2 linked regions of the Mus musculus genome follow. The protein of the gene in region 1 interacts with the protein of each later gene in a biochemical or structural test. Links are inferred from orthologs where the notes say so. Each region holds a gene or a part of one and is shown on either strand. Other genes may lie near its edges. The genes, in order: Ptpn11 and Cav1.

Region 1 (9,585 bases):
CTGACAGATCTGGGACACCTAGGGATTCCTGTTGCCCTATTGGAATGACAGCTGGCTGGCTTCTGGGGGGAATCCAAAGGAAAACACTTGCTGTACCGAACACAGGGGGCCAAGGGCAGGTCTCTGTTCCAGGATCTCAAGCTGCAAGTAGAAATGTTAGCTTGAGAGATCAGCAGCTCAGCTAACCTCTGTGTGCTGGTGAGAAACTTTGCCCTCCAAGTCCAGAGTCTAGACATTACCACCAACCCAACACAGTTCATTGTGACAATGTGCTATAGAGAGTAGGATCTGGGATCCTGGCTGTGAATGCTGAACTGATCTCATTACAAACTCTCGGAGAAGACAGCAGTCTCCACATTCCCACCAGGCCATGCTGTGCTCTGAAGCAATCGAATTCAGTTGGAGAAGGGGCCAGGATCGATGCACATGCTCTAAGAAAATGGTGGCCCCTGTGCTCCCCAACTACCTCAGGCTGCCAGGGAGCAGGAGGCCCCAGACAGGGCAGCTGCAGGGCAGGTCCAATTCTTCCTTTCAGGAATGGAAGCAAGAAGAATCAAGTGGAGACTGTGCGGTTGCTTGGTCACGAGCATCACATCTGGAAGCTCTCGCTGAAACGTGCTCTCAAGGATCAACACTGGGCAGAGGGACATCTCTGGAGAAGGCACTTACGGCAGAACATTAGCAAATCCTGCTGTTTGGTTAGGGCAGACACGGCTGACTGGAACTGATAGGAGGCCTAGCCAGGACTGCCGCTCTTCATACTCAGCCAAGGCCCGGGAAGCATCGCCTTCCCACCCCAGCGGTGCTTCAGGGATGGGCTCCCACGTACACACCACCAACCCGACCACACCAGGTCCTCAGGTGGGCGCTGCAGCACACGTGCGGGGCTCGGAAGCTTCTAGAAGACCTGCTGTACATTTCCCATCCGACACACAGTTTACACCAGATACTATAAGCAGCCTGGGCTCTTGCTAACTACAGCCACTTGCTTCTATGCCACGGGCTGGGGCTGTCTGACTGGTGGCCCCAGAGCATAGGACTTCACACCTTGGGCTGAGCCTGATTCTCTCACAGCAGCCACGGAAGAAGTCATCATGGTCACTCCAGGCCTGCGCCTGAAGAAGACCTGGCCACTTCTGGCTTTCACCCTGGGGGACACATAAGGGTCCAGCCACCCTGCTCGTAAGGCTACTCAGACACCCAGGAGAAGAGACAGGGAAACACCTCCCTGAAGCAGACACCCAGGGTTCTGACCATGTTGCCAACCTCCCAAGTGACCCTTACAGGACAGTGGGGGCTCATGCAACCCAGATCAGATGTGCTGCACTGAAGAACGGGAATGGGGTGGTCAGGAACAAGTGAGGACCAAATACCGCTCACCCCGGGATCTTACTAATACTCCAGTACAGAGACAACATGGTCACTTTGCCCAGAACAGCTTCTCTGTCCACACCTGCAGCCAAGGAGTCATCTTCAGAAGAAAGACTTCACACACCAGTTCCCAGGGCCTTTCTTTCAGCCATGACTGTCTACCTCCTGACCCTCTCATTCAGTGGCTGAATGACCGTTTCACTAAACAAAAGAAGCCACCAAAAGTGAACTGTCCTTGGCTGGGTCAATCTGTTTTAAAAGTGCCCTGACATGTGTCTGCAGGGAGCACAAAGACCTCCCAATGTCACTGTGTGGACAGTGAGATGATAAGGGATACCTGGGTCTTGAGGGTGCAGTGAACTTGTGCCATAAAAGTGATTCCCCACTTGGTGCTCTCCCGTCCAGTGTAGCACAGCCAGAAGGCCCTCACCAGGTGCAAGCCTGCAGCCTGGCCTACTGGTCCCTGGAACTAAACAGTGAGCCTCTGTGATGATGATGACCCTAAGCAGTCTCCAGCCAGGGCCCTGGGAGCCCTGTGCAGAGCAGCAAGATGAACAGTGGGTTACAGACGGCTGGCTTTTGGGGAGGCTGTGCCGGAATCTCCCTAAATCCTTTCTTCTTACAAGGGGCCCATGATTCCCCAAAGAGAGAGAAAGAAAAAAAAAATCAGATCTGTTAAGGTCATAAAAAAAAACAAAATCCTGCCCATAACTAGAATTTGAGTCCCATAATGTAGAAAATACAGAGCACAATTTAGCTGCTTCCACAATTCAAAACCAATTCTATGAAAATAGCATTGTCAAGAACGCAGAGCAGTCTCTCCTTAGCTGAGGAAAGGAGGTGCCAATTAGGCACGTGCTGTTCAAATGGTTCCAAACTTCGCTTCTCAAGAGGCAGTCCAGCCAGTGCCGGCTTCTGAACGCACGCACGGGTCCTGGGAACGCTCGTCTAGTCTTGACATTTTAGGAAAGGGGTGAAAGTTCACATCTGAGAAAGAAACACGTTAGACTTTTAGGGAGCACACATCTATACATCTTCTCTGAGGGGTGCTGGGCACTGAAGCCGGCATGCCACACACACACACACACACACACACACACACACACACACACACACACACACACACACACATGCTGAATAAATGCTCTCAGTTGAGCTACATCATCGCTGCCAGAAATGTCAACGTTGGGACGCCATACTGTGTGTTTCTAACTTACCACAGAAGCCAGGGAGGCACACCTCACACCTCACTGAAAATGACTCAATCAAAACTCAGGGGAGCCTGGGACCCCACACCCTCAGAAGCACCCCTGCTGTTGATGCCAAGACATGGACCGACCCAAGTCCACTACATCCCTGTCAACTGCTGGGCCAGCCCCATCCCCACACAGTTAACTGATCTGACTTAATGCTCCATGAACTGTATACCAAACCCAGGCTGGAGAGGGCCAAGGCAAAGAAAAAGAGGCTGCTCTGCACAACTCAGTCACAGAACATCTTGCTCTGGCATGCACAAATCACCCGTCTGTCTAGACTGCTGTGAATCCGCCCCAGAGAAAGCCGTGACACTCAATACCTGCGTTCTGTCGCCGTGGGCTCATCTGAAACTCCTCTGCTGCTGCATGAGGCCCACGTTCTCATAGACTCGGGCGCTGTCCTCCCTCATTCTGCAGACAGAGAAGAAGGAAGACGCTAACCTGAACTGCCATGTCCAGCTATGCTCAGACGGACCCCCTTCCCACTCTGGAGCTGACTCTCAAAACAGACATCACACACGTGAAGTGGGAAAAGCAGCAGGGGCCTCGAGTCCTTTGCCTTTTGGAGTGTGAATGGAGGGCAGGCAGCTTGGAGGGCAGGGGAGGAGTTGGGTCATGCACACAGATGGGAACGGTGGCCATTTCCCCAGAAGCATCACAAGTGAGGGCTCCGGTCACCCTAAGAGCCTTGGATGAACTAACACATCTGCGGGCCCAGCCTCCTTCTGTAAAGAACAGAATCAGCCGGTCGTGTGGGACATGAGGACAGATCCTGAGCAGCCCCAGGGCCAGGATCTGAGGTGTGCATACTACATGGGACAACAAAAAGGGTGTGGCAGAGTTGCTTGTCAGTCATGGGTGAGCTTCATAGGAAGGATGTTGGCTCCCCATCAAGTTACCACAGCTAACTGTATAAGACACCAGTGTCTCCAGTCAGCCTGCTGGGGCAGAGGAAAGCAGGAAGGGACAAGGTGACTCAGGAGAGAACACCCTTGCCACATAATTTCATTTCTGTGTTTAACAGAGAGAGAATGTAAACACAGGCCTCTATCTGCTCTCAGAGCTGCGTAGTAGAGCCAATATTAAAGTCAGCGGGGCTTTAAAAGCCCACGGCAGAAGCAAACAAGTGGGATTCCAGGGGAAGGAAAGGTAAATGTTATGGCGGAGAGCAACCTTGGGCTACAGGCAGCACAGCTGCTAGCACATGACTGGCTAACAGATACTGCCCTGCGTGTCCTACTTTAAACCAGGAGCTGCCAAAGCCCTTCTGAAGAACCAATGGGTGGTGATGACCAATGGGTGATGATGACCCTACTGGTCAGACGGCCTCTGTCAGCTACGCCTTGGGGTTTTCCTTTCCCGGGTACATGAGGGGTAAAGGGGCTACGGTGTGAGACATGTAAGCCTGAGCCCTTGCAGACATCAAGCATTGAGGTGACAGGAGGAACAGAGTGAGGTCACAGCAGACCTCAATCCTATCCTGGCCAAACAGCCCTGGAAACTGTCAGTTAAGTTGCAGGGACCTGGGTCTCCCAGAATGTGAATGTGGTTTCTACTGGAGTCCTGCTGCTCCCAGGAGCCTTCAGTGGCAGGCTATAGAGCGCCAGCTCAGAGAACTGGGGTGTTTCACCCCAACATGGCCTAAGACACTTTGACGTCACGAGTTGTAAGCAGGCTGTCTAACAGACACAGAGAATGATGTAGACAGGCATGGCCACACCGCTGGTTACATACTCTACCACCTGAGCCCTCCAAGCCGCTGCTGCACAGGGTTGTTGTCGGTGACAACAGTGAGCACCAGGGATTATTTTCCATTTTTTGTCCTAAGTTCAGTCCTACTTGGAGTCTGACTAATAGGGCCTGGGCCCTTTCTGCTTCTAAGTGGGTCTCTAGTTGAACTCACATGCTGGAAATGTCACACTTTTCTGTCACAGATGTACAAACCGTTAAGATGGCATCATACTGAATGCCTCTGGAACACAATCTTTCCTGAGATCTGAGCACTTCCATAAGAGGCAATCTCCAAGTTCAAGGTCAGAAATTTTAGTGTGTTCAGAAGGCTCTGGCTGCAGTTTGGGGCAAGCTGTCCTGTGGAGCTGAACCAATGTGCTTGAACCACCACTATATAACAGCCGTTCCTTAAAAACTGTCCTCACCACCACTGGACACCCCCTGCTGGTACTGCTTGGTGGCTCTGCTTGGTGGAAAGAACTTTGAAGCCGGGCGTTGGGGGCACATACCTTTAATCCCAGCACTTGGGAGGCAGAGGCAGGTGGATTTCTGGGTTCGAGGCCAGCCTGGTCTACAAAGTGAGTTCCAGGACAGCCAGGGCTATACAGAGAAACCCTGTCTCGAACCCCCCCCCAAAAAAAAAAAAAAGAACTTTGAGCTTTCCCTTCGTGTTTGCTGGCCACCAAGGAAAATGAGCCTCTCCTGCATGTCCGTAAGCCACCTGCAGCTTCTTTTACAGCACACCCATTCGTAATTGCTCGCCATTTCCTACTGGGATAGCTGTCCCCATGCAACTGTTGGCTTGTCAGGTTTTTGGGGTTGTTTGTTTGTTTGTCTTAAATAAGAACTCCTTTAAAAAGCAAAGCTAGCCTATGGGCTCTGGCTTTCTGACCCTTGGTTTAAAAACCCTGACTGACAGGAAGATTGGCAGATCATAGTCATGTCCACACATGAACAGAGAGTTTATTTATTCTTAAGAGTCTCCACACTGTAAGGGACAGCGCTTCCCACTGAAATAATGCTCCCTGCAAAAGGAAAATTAGATTTTCCCCAGAGAACCCTACCTAACATGCCCAGGGCCCCACAGGATCCTGGAGAGCCCATCACGTGCCTACTGGTTAGGGGCCCTGCAACCATGAGCCCTAGAGAGTCCCTGGACCCCACCGCCCCATGCACCATCAGTGGGCAGCAAGCAAGCCTGAGGAGAATACTGCAAGCAACTGCTGTTAAGCTTCTACCAGACCTACGCTGCCGCCGTATCGCTACTTACTCTGCACAGGGTGGCGTTGGGGTGCAGGGTGGCAGGGGACTCTGATCACCACTTGTCTGGTCCACCAAGGAATACTTAATATTGGTATATTCATGTCCTTTTCTTTTGCTTTTCTGAAAGTTAAGGAAAAAAAAATACAAGTAAGGAGGACTGTGGATATGATTTTTAGAAAAATACAGAAACAAAAAAGCTATTTTATCAAAAGAAAAAAAAAGAGGCAGATGGACAGGCTAGACTCTTTTTTTTTTTTTTAAGATTTACTTATTTTTATTTATATGAGCACACTGTAGCTATCTTCAGACACACCAGAAGAAGGCATCAGATCCCATTACAGATGGTCGTGAGCCACCATGTGGTTGCTGGGAATTGAACTCAGGACCTCTGGAAGAGCAGTCAGTGCTCTTAACTGCTAAGCCATCTCTCCAGCCCACAGGCCAGACTCTTAAGAACACTAACATGCTGACTAAATGGTTAGGAGCTCACGGCACCTGCAGGAGGAGTGTGCTGCAACCACAACCCTCAGAGCCCCCAGAGCTGCAAGGAACTGCTGACTGACACAGGCTAGAGGCACTACTCCTGCTTCAGCACAGAGCTCTATCACTGTGTGCAAGGATGGAAGGCACAGTAATGCACTTTATGTATTTAGCAGTATTGGCGATGGCACCCAGAGCCCTCCCACAATGTTGAGATGTGCTCAGCCATCTCAACCACAGCACCCTAAGATGAAATGGTAGGGGAAGGAAACCAACAGAGCAAACAACAGGAATGTAATCTCATCTCACCATGTATAAAGGCTCACACATGCCATGTGTGTAGAGAGCAGACAGCCCTGCAGAGTCGGCTCTCCATGCAGTGAATATCCATAACAATGCACCTGTACTGCACATGTGCAGACTTCCCTATGTTCAAGGCCTTCCTGGGCTACATGAAGACCACAGGAGGAATGAGTAGTTCTTATTCAAGGAACATGAGAATCTACAGGCTTCATGTCTAAGACCAAGTGCCCTGGGATGCTTAGGCATGGGTACACTATGTGAAGAGTCAATGGCCACTGCACACTATCCATGGATGTGCTCCCAGAGCACAGACAACAAATCCAATCAAAGTGAGGCTCCTGCGTGGCCACCCTCTTCACTCTGGACACCTTCCATTCTGGGAGACTGAGCAGCAAGGAGAGGGAGCTGTGCACATCCCCATCCCAGAACTGGGGAGGAGGGGGCAGGAAGAACAGGATTCTAACCTGCAGTGGTTATTCCTGGTTGTCAACTTGACCATATGAAATGAATGAACTCCAATCCAGAATTGGAAGGCTCACCAAGCATCCCGACTTCTACAAACTGTGATTAGGGCAGGGGCTGTTGGGGACTGTGGCAGGAGGGAGACACTGACCACAGTACATATCTTCAGACATAACATCTTCCACGGGCTCTGGAAGCCTCATGCCCAGCACTGGACTGGACAAGGTAGAGCAAACTTGAACTCTGCTGAGAGTAGACTCCACCACCTCAGCATGCACTGTGGGGTGCTGGGCACACTAACCAACTAACCATGACAATCATCCCATAGCATTTCCACACACAAAATACACTGTACACTCTCAATACATAGACACAGTATTTTTGTTTTGAGGCAGAGTCTCATTATATAGCCCTGACTGGCCTGGAACTCACAGAAATCCCCCTGCCTCTGTGTCTCTGCACTATAGGAATTAAAGGCATGTGCCACCATGCCCAGCTAGCCTTGATTCTGTAAGTTCCCAGTGAAGAAACCTCACCATCATCTTCTCAAGAGGCAGAGCTGACCTGACTGTCCTGAATCAACTTAGCCCTAAGGTACTGGAGTGGTGCAGAAGGGCCTGGCACAGCACAGCCTGAGTCTCAGCTGCAGGGTGCAACTGACAGCTCCTGGAATGTCCCAAGTATGGAGCAAGAGCAATAGTATGACATAGAAACTATTCCAGATGAAAGACAGGAAACAAACATGAATGCTATACACACCATGTGACCCTGACCACAGCAAGACAAACTGGAAAAATCTGAATGTGGAGTATGGCCTACTTTAGCTTTTTGAGTTGTGTTTATGTCTGTGTGTGCACATGAGGAAGTCACCATGAGGTGTGTGTGTGTGTACTCGCGCACACACACACATGCACTGGATCCCTTAGAGGTGGAGTTACCTGCAGTTTTGAGCCCTCTGCCATCATGTCCTCTATAAAAACAGTGTGTATCCTTAACCTCTGAGCTGTATTTCCAAGACATATGTTTAATTTCTTGTTTGGTTGTGGTTTTATCAAGAAAAGGTCTAACATAGCCCAGGCTAGACTGGAATTCCCAGCCTTCTTGCCTCAAGCTACATAAGTGCTCACACATGCTGGGCAAGCTTGTGTGCTGTACTGGGATGGACCCCAGGAGCCTAGTAAATGCTCACACGCTGGGCTCCAGCCCTGACCTGCAGATTATACAGAGCTTTCAATTTGCTCCCCCAACTTAGTAACTGAATCATGATGATGTAACAGAACATCTTTTTTTAAAAAATATATACCAATGCACTTAGAAGCAAAGAGGTACAGACTCATGTAAGTTATAAACATTCCCTTTTTAAATATTATGTATATTAAATAAAGTTTGAAGAAAAAAATAAATGCTTGTGTTCAGAAGTTGAGTAAAAGAAATACCACGCACTCCACACACTGCTTTTGCAAATAAAGTACTTACTAATATAAATGGAAAATTAAAAAAAAAAAAAAAACAAAAAAAAAACCTCTCAACAAATCTGCAGTGGCACAGCTGGGCACTGGTGGTGCCACTTTTGATCCCGGTGCTTGCGGGGCAGAGGCAGGCAGATCTTTGTGAGTTTGAAGCCAGCCTGGTCCACAGAGTAAGTTCCAGGATAGCAAGGGCTGTACAGACAAAGAAACTCTGTCTTGAAATAACAAACAAAAAGCCCTGCAGCACAAGAGGCAGTCTTAATAAGCCACTCAGGACTGTCCCTACGGTGCTCTGTCCCGTTCTCTGCTCGCCCCTCTGTGTATCTCTTTCTTGCTGGCCCGCTTCCTCTGTTTCACTCCGCCTCTTTCCCCACGGTTCTCCACCCAACTGCCACTTTGTTTTCATTTAGCAATTCTTTTACTCCCAAAGGGCTTAACTCATCCAAAGTTGGAAGATGGCTACATTTTGAACTAATTCATTATACTAAATGAGTTTTGTCCTGTTGCTTAATTTAAGAATCCGCTGGGCTTGGGCTGGAGCCATATAGTGCAGTGGTTAAGGACGCAAGTGCTTCTGCAGATGAAAGCTAAGTTCCCATCAGCAACCCTGGGCAGTGCACATCCTGGTGCAAGGGGTCTGATTCCTCCTCCTTCTACACATGGACACAGGCTCACACACATTGAAATTCAATTTAAAAATAAGCAGGGAGACAGGTAGTTGACTGTTTTGTGTGCAGTTGACTCTTTTGTGTGCAGTGGTAGTTTTCTTTTTCACTGTTGCTTTGTTGTTTTTGCAATATCGTCCTATATAGCTCTCACTAACCTGGAACTCAATACACAGCCAAAGACAACCTTGAATTTCTGATCCCATCTTGGTCTCGCAAGTGCTGAGATTCAGGCACATGCCAGCACTTCAGGTTTACATGGGGCCAACCATAGCTCTGTGTATACTAGGCAAGTTCCAAACCAAGTGAGCTACACCCCCAGCCCAAACCATACACGCAGAAATGTATGTTTATTTTTGAGACATAGGCCTCACTATGTAGCTCTGGCTGTCCTAGAGCATACTACGTAAACAAGGCTGACCTTGAACTTAGAGATTAGTCCTTTCTCTGGGTGCTGGCCTCAAAGGCTTGTTCCACCACAACCCATCCCTCCTATATACTTTTTTAACACCAAAGTTCCAAGTTCCAAAATCTGAGTTAATACAATTGCAAAGTGCTAACACATACTAGTATCAAAATGAATTA
Region 2 (10,271 bases), on another chromosome or scaffold:
TATAAGAAAATGGATTAAACTTTTGAAACTGTAAGCAAGTCCCAATTAAATGCTTTCTTTTGGAAGAGTCGTCATAGTCATGGTTTCTCTTCACAGTAATAGAACACTTACTAAGACATTTTGTGAAGTAAAATGTGTCCATTCCATTATTGAATTTGTGGGCTAAACTCTGTCCCTGAGGGTTAGTGGCATCTATTACAATTTAGGTAATTGCACCAATATTTTAACTGTGTCATCTTATGGAATGTTCTCAGCAATCTCGATGGATATGCATCAATTATGTCTTCCATTTTTAAAAACTAAAGAATGTAAATCTAATTAGAAACACTCTCCGGGCATCTTGATCAGAAAAACAAAGATATAATTTGCTTTGTTTTTTTTAATAAACAAATAAATAAATAAATATCATTAAAATACTGAAAGAAAAGCTGGGCATGACATGCCTATAAATTCCAGTATTTGATAGGTGGAGGCAGGAGATGAGAAGTTCAAGGCCAGCCTTCTCAAATACATTGATATTTGATGATGAGGAAGAAGAAGAAGAAGAAGAAGAAGAAGAAGAAGAAGAAGAAGAAGAAGAAGAAGAAGAAGAAGATGATGATGATGATGATTCAAGCAAAGAAGTTCCAGCTAGGCTCCCTGTCAGACAGGGAAGAAAGGAATCAGCAAGGTAACAAATCTTCAGTCAGAATGCTGTTACTTTCCAAGTGAAATCCATGAAATTAGGGAAGAAGACCTCCATGGAACCTGGTAGACAGAGTAAGTAGAGGAAAGCATATGAGGGCTACCAGCCAATTAGCAGTGCTGGGAGGAAAGCCTCTGAGATATAGCTCAAGTCTGGAATGAGTGGTAAGTGACTTTGCCATAGTTACACACACACACACACACACACACACACACACACACACACACACACACACACACAGAGCCATTTACCATTTACAACCCATTCCCAAATCTCTTTTCTAAGCTGATTATGAAATATTGAAAGATTTGCTTGTTTGTTTGTTTGTTTTTCCTTTTGAAGATGTATTTATTTTCTTTTGTCTGTAGGAGTGTTTGCCTGCGTGTATTTGTGCACACCAAGTGAGTGTCAGTGCCAGAAGAGGGCCGAGGATCCCCTAAAACTAGGGTTATGGACAGTGTGATCTACCAAACCCAACCCAGATCCTATGCAAGAGCAGCAAGCTCTCATAACCCTCCTTACCTCTAATCCATCGCTCCAGCCCTGGATTTTAAATCTTAAGACTATTAGTATTGCTTAACCTTAGGCTTCTAACCAGAGAAGAGAAAAAAGATAGAACTAAACGAAAAGAGGAAAAAGACTCAGTGTCATGAGAATGGGAAAGATAAAGCACGGTAGGAAGATGGGCCTGGAAGAAAGGCAGGGCGAACACAAAAAAAGCAGCTAATTGTTATTTAGCCACAAGCAGATCCTGTGTCCTGGAACTTAACAAGTGCAGTTAGTTGTCAACTTAGAAACAGTTTATTTTCCTCAGGAGTGTTAGTGTATCCAGACATCAGTGTCTTTATGTCTAAGATAGCGGGATTAGATGACCATTACCATGTTTAGTTAAGTATCTCTACTGATGCAGAATCCTCAGGCTTTTAAAGTTGCATCTGACATTCGAAAAATAGCAAATAAATAAACTGTAATACTCATTTCCAGCAAATGATTTAGAGAAAGCTATTAACTTTCCCTCAAGCCCAAAGTCACATGTGTGAATATCAAAGAAAAGGATTATTTATATCACCTATTCACTTAAATCTCATACCTAAGTTAGCAGAGTTAACTTCTCATGGGGTCAGAGTCATTTCTCCCAGTCAGCTGTCACAAGACCTTAAGAACTGTTTCTCTGTAGCATCTGTGTCTTGTTGAGGTGGGTCACCTAAACAGCTATCGTTTTTCTAGTCATTGCGGATTCATCTTGGCATCCAGAGCACTCCCCTAATCTTTATGATTCCAGAGCCGCTGTTGACTTGACTTGGATATGGGCTTTCCCCTGGAGGTGGCTTTCCCTCTGCTGGTTTAGGTAGGCATCCACTGAAGGACCTTTCCAGAACTTCTTTCTGCCGGGAATGCAAGGCAAACTCGTCAGCTTGAAACAATGGGTGGGAACCAGTTTCTACGTTTTTCCCTAGAACAGAATCCTAATGGCCTCGAAGCAAATATCTCTGAAAGACAATGCAGATAGTAGACAAACGATATCCTAAGAGATCTTCAGAGGTAGCTAAGGCAGCTACATGGAACCAGAAGGCCTTTTCTGGCTTACCGTGTAGGTTGACACACGAGTTGATAAAAGATTTTGGAAAAGTAATTTAGTAGAAATAAAACTAAGGAGACTAGCCTTTGAAAAGACCTTTAATCTCATAGGGAACAGCCAGCATAAGTTACCTAACCTTTACCACACCGACTTTCCCCTGCCATTCCTGGTTAAAATTCACCCTTTTATTTTTTAACAACATACTGCTAACCACCCTCATTAGATTAGTATGACAAATGCAAGTGCTGAAATAGCACGCCGTTCCCATTAGCTATGGGTGTCACACCCTGATAAAAATAAATAAATTATTCATAAATAATATATTTATAATTTATAATAAAATGTATTATAAATTTATAATTAATCAAATAATTAATTAACAATTGCTTCCCTATCAGCCGGGGACCCAGGTTACTGGTCTTTTCAGGTCTTCTTTCCAGCTAGATGATCAGTTCTTTCAGGGTTCCATTTTATCTGTTTTCAAGCCCTGGGATTCCTCTTCATCCTTCTCATGAGCCCGTGCTCCTGCTTCTTGGAAACAATTTTAAAAATGTACTCTCTGTCCTTTCCAGTGTGCATTGGGAGTGTTTGCATAGGAATGCTTAGGTAAAAATTTCCTTTCATCCTTGAGGTGGTGGGGAGTAAACTGCTTAGTTACTGTCTCTAATTAGTTACTCTTTCCTTTAGTAAAAAGCAACTATAGTTTATCTTATTTTTCCTTACAATAAGACAAAGGAGGCTGGCCAGCTTTTGAAACTGATATTTTAGTTGTTAACTTAAAAAGAAAAACTACTTTGTCAAAAAATAAAACAAACAAACAAACAAACAAAAAACATTCTCTCACAGTCAAGCACATATTCCTGCGCTTGGATCCTCTATGGCAGAGGATGTAGTTCAGTGGTAGAGTGTTTAATCTCCAGGCAGAATACACAAAGCCCTGGGTTCGAACTCGTCGATCTTGAGCCAAGAAAAAAAAAAAAAACAAAAAAAACAAAAACAAAAACAAAAAACTCTCTAGTAACAAGCTTGAACCTCTAAGTAAAATTTTCTGCAGTTGAAAATACTCAAAGTGCTTATGGTTACTGTATAACCTGCTGGTAGGGATTTCATTTTCTTTATTGCAGAGGCGCCCACACAGATTGCTTCGTTGTGTTTATATTTAAAAAAAAAAAAAATGTTCCCTCAGGTTCCCAGCCATCTCGCTTCTATATCTTTCTCTGTGAAACAAGGAGACAGATCAGTTCTACGTGGGCGAATTGGGAGGGGAGGCAGCTTAGGACAGGGCAGAATTCTTTCTGCAGAGCCGGATGCCCATACTGGGCATCTCTGCAGACTCTTGGGCTCCCTCCACCCCTGCTGAGATGATGCACTGGGAAAACACGCGCTCTCCCCTGGATGCCTCTCTGTAGGTTTATAGCTGGGAAAACGTTGCCTCGAGTCTAAAATATCTGCCCAAACTGCCTAGCTCTGATGAAGGCTTTCTCACAGGCTCTCAGCTCCCCGCCGGCACTCCCCGCCCTCTGCTGCCAGAACCTTGGGGATGTGCCTAGACCCGGCGCAGAGCACGTCCTAGCCAACTGAGAGCAGAACAAACCCCTGGCGAACAGCCAAGAGGCTCCCTCCCAGCCACCGCCCCCCGCCAGCGCCTTTCCCCCCTCTATACAATACAAGATCTTCCTTCCTCAGTTCTCTTAAATCACAGCCCAGGGAAACCTCCTCAGAGCCTGCAGCCAGCCACGCGCCAGCATGTCTGGGGGCAAATACGTAGACTCCGAGGTAGGCTTGGGTGAGGGCTCCAAAGTGCCTGCTTTTGCTATCTTCCACTCCAAATGCTCGGACTGCTTTCCTCGCCCCAGCCCGCTCTCCACCTTCGCGGCACTCGAGCTGGCACCTTGGAGGAATGGGCTGGGTGGGGAGGTGAAAAGCTAGGAATGTCTTAGGGCTTCCTTTTGGAGAGGAGACCAATGGAGCCAAAAGGGGAAAGAAGGAGACCCGGTCTGCCAGACTTAGAAAAGTTTTCCAGATGACACGTTCGCGAGACCCCACTGCGGTCCAGCCCGTACCTACTGGGAGGCTTAGGGCTGCTGCTCAGTGTGTGTGTGTGTGTGTGTGTGTGTGTGTGTGTGTGTGTGTGTGTGTGTGTGTGTGTGTTCGGGGGAAGGAGATTCATTTGGACAGTGTCCCCCCACCCCAACCCCCCAGGAGCCTAAAGTGGCTGGCTTGGGCAGCGGCATGCGTGTATTGCACTTAGCGAAGTTCTCGAGAACTTCAATAGTTTTTTCTGCCCCTGAGAGGCCCGGGCGGGGGGAGTTCCGAGGTGGGGGAAGCCTCCTTCCTCCCTCACAAGTACCACCGCCATTGTCAACTCCTTCTTGGCACTCAGGTGGACTAAACGTGGAGACCCCGGTTCCCAAATAGGGCTACGATTCAGCTTGGAGTAGACAGCCTGAGAGTGATCTAAGTAAGGGTGGGTCAGGCAGTTCTTCAGATGGCATGTCCTCTGGGGCATGGGGGTGGGGGTGACAGGTCTTGGCACATGCCTCAGCCTAAAGAAGTATGTTAGATTGTGAGCCACTTATTCACCCCCACGGCCTAAGAAAAACCAGGGAGTAAAGGTGGGTTTTAAAAGGGGGTAGGGGCTGTGGCAGGTGCAAGGAAGAAGCACGGAGGGACAGTGAAGATGGGACCATTACGTCTGTCAGTTTGGTCCAGAGTGATCTTGATAATGTTGAAAGGGACCTTAGGACAGTGTTAAGGGTTAAGAGAGGGACCACGGAGCAGGTGAGGTTGTGGGGTCATAGGTCTGGCGGAGAGAAGGAATACAGAGGAGGAGGAACGGGAACCCCAGCCCCTGGGCTGGGGAGTCAGGGCCGAGAGCCGTGGGGAGCAGGAGGGCGCATGGGACTTCGCCCTGACCCCTGGCGGCGGGCGCGGGAGGCAGGCGCTCTCTGCCTGGTACCGAGGGGTGTGGTGTCCTCCGCTCCGTCCTCTTAAAAAGCTTGCAGCGCTGGAGTTTTCTGTGTGCAAGCCTTTCCTTCGAGGTTGAAGCTAGCAAAAGTTGTAGCGCCAGGCTACCCCCGCACAGCCAGGCTGACTCTTGACTCTTGTTTTTCTTTCTGAACTTTTCTTCCCACCGCTGTTGCCGCCCTCCCCTGGCTTGGCCGGTTGCCCTCACAGGGACATCTCTACACTGTTCCCATCCGGGAACAGGGCAACATCTACAAGCCCAACAACAAGGCCATGGCAGACGAGGTGACTGAGAAGCAAGTGTATGACGCGCACACCAAGGAGATTGACCTGGTCAACCGCGACCCCAAGCATCTCAACGACGACGTGGTCAAGGTAAGCATGTTGCTGTCTGGGTCCCACAGTGTACTCTCCCAAGCTTTGACAGACAAGCACTCCTTTTTTGAGCTTGGCTGTGTGTGACCCCCTGCGGGTCTGGTGTCAGAAATGTCGCATCTGCCTGCCTCTTCCTGCTGGCAAGTTCAGCAGGAATTTAGCCAGTTGATGTGGGGGGTCCATAGAACCTTAGCCACGAGTGCCCCACCACACACATGCACATTACTTGGGAAGGGAAAATTATTATGGTCCATTGGCAGGTTAAAAGTCCAGTTACAGCTCTTTTCCATGTTGGTAAAATAATTGTGTGAGACTTTGTGCCACTGGTGAATAACAGAATACAGAATGAGCAGATTCTGTCAGCTAAATAATCTAAATGATTAGCATAAAAATATGAAATGAGTGGAACCGATAACATATGCAGATATGTGTACATATTTTGTATGTAGTGTATGTGTGTGTGTGTGTGTGGTGTTTTAACTATAGAAACATGGCACATGTGCAAGGGTAAGCTCATTTACCAAACTGAAAATCATTTCCACCTCTTGACTTCTGGATCCCTCTAGTTAAATGTGTGCGTGTGTGGTGACAGCCAAGGTCAGCCTGCCCTGGGCTAACAGAACTCAAGATTGGTGTTCCATTTTCAAGATGTCCTTGCTGAGATTTAAAATACCTTACTTTCCTGAGTTGTTGGTCAGCATAGACTTGACACAGTGGTCTGTCTGACTTTCATTATCATTTTGCTATTCAACTTTGACCCTTTCAACAATTCTGGCTCAAGGAATTTCTTGTCTGAATCTGAGTGGGTTGAGAAATCCTGGACTCGAGCTGTCCTTGGCAGAGGATTTCCTCTGAGTGGCCTGGAGGGCCAAGGAAAATCCTAGCTTCAGGGGTTCTAACGGAAGACACTGCCCTGCCCTGCCCAGCCCCTGATTCACCATTGAGGAGGTGATGCAGTTTCTACCCACAGCCTTCTATCTATGGATGGGAGGAGCTCCAGTACAGTTTCACCTTTATGAATAATATATTTCAGAGAGAGAGGCTTAATCTACAACTACAGGGAAAGTGTATCTGTCAAAATTGACTCCCTTGGTTTGCTGGTAGAAAAAAAGGAAAATTGGACCATTTTCTCTTGGCCACATTGTGGAATATTTAAAACCAGCAATGAAGGCACCTCATAAATTGGAAGTTAAGATTGCTAAAAAATCCGTTTATTAGCCACACTTCCTTAAAGGGGAAAGAGCAGTTTTCTTTTCACCCTTCTTGTGCTGCGTTGGTCAAAGAGGGAGACTCCAATTATAAAAGCAGATTTCATGATTACAAATTGGCTCCCTTCTATGGAGCCTCCCTGTTGTTGCAATGTGGATTCCCAAGAGCCAGAGAGCCTCCTGAGATGAGTCAGAAAGGCCAGCAGTGTGGATTTGGGTCCCCACACATAGCATGACTAAGTGGAGAGAGAAGGCCCCACTGGGAAAAGAGACTTCAACACAGATGGAAAAAAGGCATAACAGGCTTGGAGGAAATAGCAGTTTACAAAATACTACGTCAAGAGTGAGTGTGGAGCTCCTCAAATTAGAGAAATTAGAAGAGCTAGAGCAATACCTGCCTGCTTGCTCACAGGAGGAGCAAATCCAGAAAGACAGACAGACAAGAAAAAGCTAACCTTGAGAAAAGAATTTAGAAGAATTTAGGCAGATGTCCTGCCCAGGAGGTTATCTTCTGAAAGCATTTGTTTTGCAGAGAGAGACCCAGGCTACCCCTGCTCATAGACTCCTCCCCTCCCCCACAGAACTAGCTAGAAATTTTCCATCATAGAAATCTCTGCTGGACAGTGTCTTGCTAGAGTGTCCCCTGCTCTTCACCGATACCTTCATATCCAGTTGAATAACACAACTAAACAAACCTTCTATGTAGACAAGAAATGAGGCCCAGATTGAAGGTATAAAGAACACCATAGTCCAATTCGTCTCAGTCCTATGTATCAAGTGTGGAGGCATGGAAAGGCCCCAAAGGCTGCATGCTCTACACTTGCACTTCATCAACACAGAGCATGATCACCTAGCCCTCTGGCAACAAGAATATCCATTTCAATATAGAATCGATTGCCAATATAACTGTTTTCATATAGAGGCTTGACACTTCACATAACGGTGTATCTACATATATACAAAATATTATGATTTGAATGTTTTCTTAAGCTTCTTTTACCCAGATAGTTAAACGTTGGATTCACCATTCTTCCTCTGACATTTATAATGTTCATTCATTTGCTCATTACCCATGATTAGAATTCGAAAGTAAAAAAAAAAATGCATTAAAATATATGATCTTATTAATTGCTATTCAGCTTATTACAATGTTGTGATGTGTTAGGCTGGATTTTTATGATTTAGTTTTTAAAATAAGTCCAGCAGATAAAAATATTACTGTTAATACTGCTAATAAAACAAGAAAGATATGTACATATTACAAAAATCTTAATCTTGAACACACACACACACACACACACACACACACACACAGAGCCACAATGGATCCTTTAGTTTTGCCCTGACTACCAAGATACATGTAGCTCTATTATTTGTTTTATTAGCACAATTTATTTACTCTCCCCCACAGGTGGTTTTGTGTTCTCTCTCTCTATCTCCCTCTCTCTCCTGGCATGTAGTAATATGAGGCTCCATTGCACTGTCAACTGCATTGTCATTTTAGAAATAGACTAAATATGTGCTATGCTAAGTCAAAGTAAGTGGTATCGCATATTGCAGAATAAAATGTTCTCAAAAGTGATTGTCACTGATACTGTCAGGAAGATGTCACAGGAAGAGCAGCAGGTAGGTAAAAGATTCCTTAAATCCTTTAATGGAGGGGGTCAAGAGGAGCATGGGATCTGACCTAGGTGGGAGAGCACAGTCTATATGCAGAAGCTTAGGAGGGCAGGAGGGTGCACGGAAGGAGACCAGACTGTTATATATTGTATTTTGAGAATATTCTCTTCCATACCTTCTTACCCTCCATCTTCTCACCCCTCCCTTTCTTTGATCCCCCTAGACACTTCCATATTATTATTTTAAATAAAGTTTGATTACAATTTTTAATTTTTGAGATTATAATTATGCTCCCCTCCCCACTTCCCTTTCCTCCTTCCAGCCCCTCCCATTGTAACCCTTGACTTTTTCTCAGATCCATGGCTGCTTTTTCTTCAAATATATGTGCATATAAATTTCTAAACATAAAAATATAGCCTGCTCTGTCTATATAGTGTTGTCTGTGTATGTTCGCAGGGATATTTGGTATTAGATGATTAACTGGTATGCTGCTACCTGGGGAAGACTGTTTCCCTCACTCTCAGCATTCCTTAGCTGCCTGTAGTTTTTGTCTAGGGTTGAGGCCTTGTGAGTATTTCTATCCCTTAGCATGTCTACCATGTCATCCTTGCTAAGGTCTTGTTTAGGCAGCCATATTGGTGAGGCTTCATGGGTGTTGCTGCTCTGACGTTTCTAGGAAACACAGTGTCACAGCAACCTATGTATTCCTCTGACTCTTCTCATCTTTCCTCCCCCTCTTCCACCACAACCTCTTAGTATTAGGTGCAGTTGTTCCATGCAAATTTTAATATCTCACTTTGATTGGAGTCTAGGAGCTCATGTGGCATAGTAGAACACGATAAAAATGAAATGAGAGATTATAACCAAGTAGCAGAGTCCTGAATATCACACTCAGTTTAAGATTGTAGGCTCCCAAGTCCGCAGCGGGAAGCTGTGGCATAAATGAAGGATGGCGTTGATATGAGAAGCTAAAGTTTTGGAAAAGACTAGGGTTGAAAGCACAGCTGTGACGTAGCCATACTGGGTAAACAGGAAAGGGCTGAAATGCAAGTAGTCCACAACTCACCATGGTGCAACCTGATTATTCAGTTTTCCAGACTACAAAAATAGAGCAAATTCAGTAGGAGCTATGCTTCAAAAATTTGAATCTTGACCTTTTCCTACTCCAGCAGTGATATGTAGCACAATGGTCTCTTGTGATGCTGGGAGGTGGGAGTGAGACATAGCTCCCAGATAACCACACAATCCCAAAAAGAAACAACCACCAATACTACAGTATACCATGTGGCTGAACAATGGTGTTCACTGGGTTTGGTCTGTTAAATACATCTTTGACATGAAATATTCTCAACGTATAATGGACTTAATGATTCCATGGTGCAGATGTGATATGAAATGAATGATGCATACACTAGAGATAGAACCATCAGAGCACAAAACAACATAATTTATGGGAACGTAATGATTAGTTGCCTAGTTTCTAGTTCCCCCTTTTGGACATTAATAAAAAATTAGGGTTAATGAAGTTTTAAAAAGATCTCCATAGTTTCAAAACGGTGCTCAAGACAGATCTTTTGAAATGTACCACCAAAAAAGAAAGCATAAGATTACATAATTTGTCATGGATTATTGTCATGGGGAAGAAATGGGCTTAGTGATCTTTGGGATTAGCACTGAGACAAATCGGAACATCTGGGAAGAGGTCTTTGCTCAAAAGTAAAATTATCTGTTTGCAACTTTGTCTCCTAAAACGTGAACATAATTAGATATGGACAAACTCAGTTTTCATTACTCATGGAGCAAAGTCATGTGTGTAGTGAGCAGAACATTATCAGTG

Evidence for each region.
Region 2: the proteins of Ptpn11 (region 1) and Cav1 form a complex in vitro, tested with the Homo sapiens proteins (2 studies listed by BioGRID). The link is inferred for Mus musculus from reciprocal best matches to the Homo sapiens genes PTPN11 and CAV1.

The regions. Positions count from the first base shown.
Region 1 is NC_000071.6:121,131,789-121,141,373, forward strand, and holds part of Ptpn11 (tyrosine-protein phosphatase non-receptor type 11), read right to left. Parts: intron 5,742-9,585; coding exon 5,629-5,741; intron 3,039-5,628; coding exon 2,969-3,038; 3' UTR 2,948-2,968; intron 2,359-2,947; 3' UTR 1-2,358. UniProt on the Homo sapiens protein: Acts downstream of various receptor and cytoplasmic protein tyrosine kinases to participate in the signal transduction from the cell surface to the nucleus. Positively regulates MAPK signal transduction pathway. Dephosphorylates GAB1, ARHGAP35 and EGFR.
Region 2 is NC_000072.6:17,302,440-17,312,710, forward strand, and holds the start of Cav1 (caveolin-1), read left to right. Parts: upstream 1-3,895; 5' UTR 3,896-4,010; coding exon 4,011-4,040; intron 4,041-4,613; exon of another isoform or gene 4,614-4,725; intron 4,726-4,843; exon of another isoform or gene 4,844-4,879; intron 4,880-5,200; exon of another isoform or gene 5,201-5,441; coding exon 5,442-5,606; intron 5,607-10,271. UniProt on the Homo sapiens protein: May act as a scaffolding protein within caveolar membranes. Forms a stable heterooligomeric complex with CAV2 that targets to lipid rafts and drives caveolae formation. Mediates the recruitment of CAVIN proteins (CAVIN1/2/3/4) to the caveolae.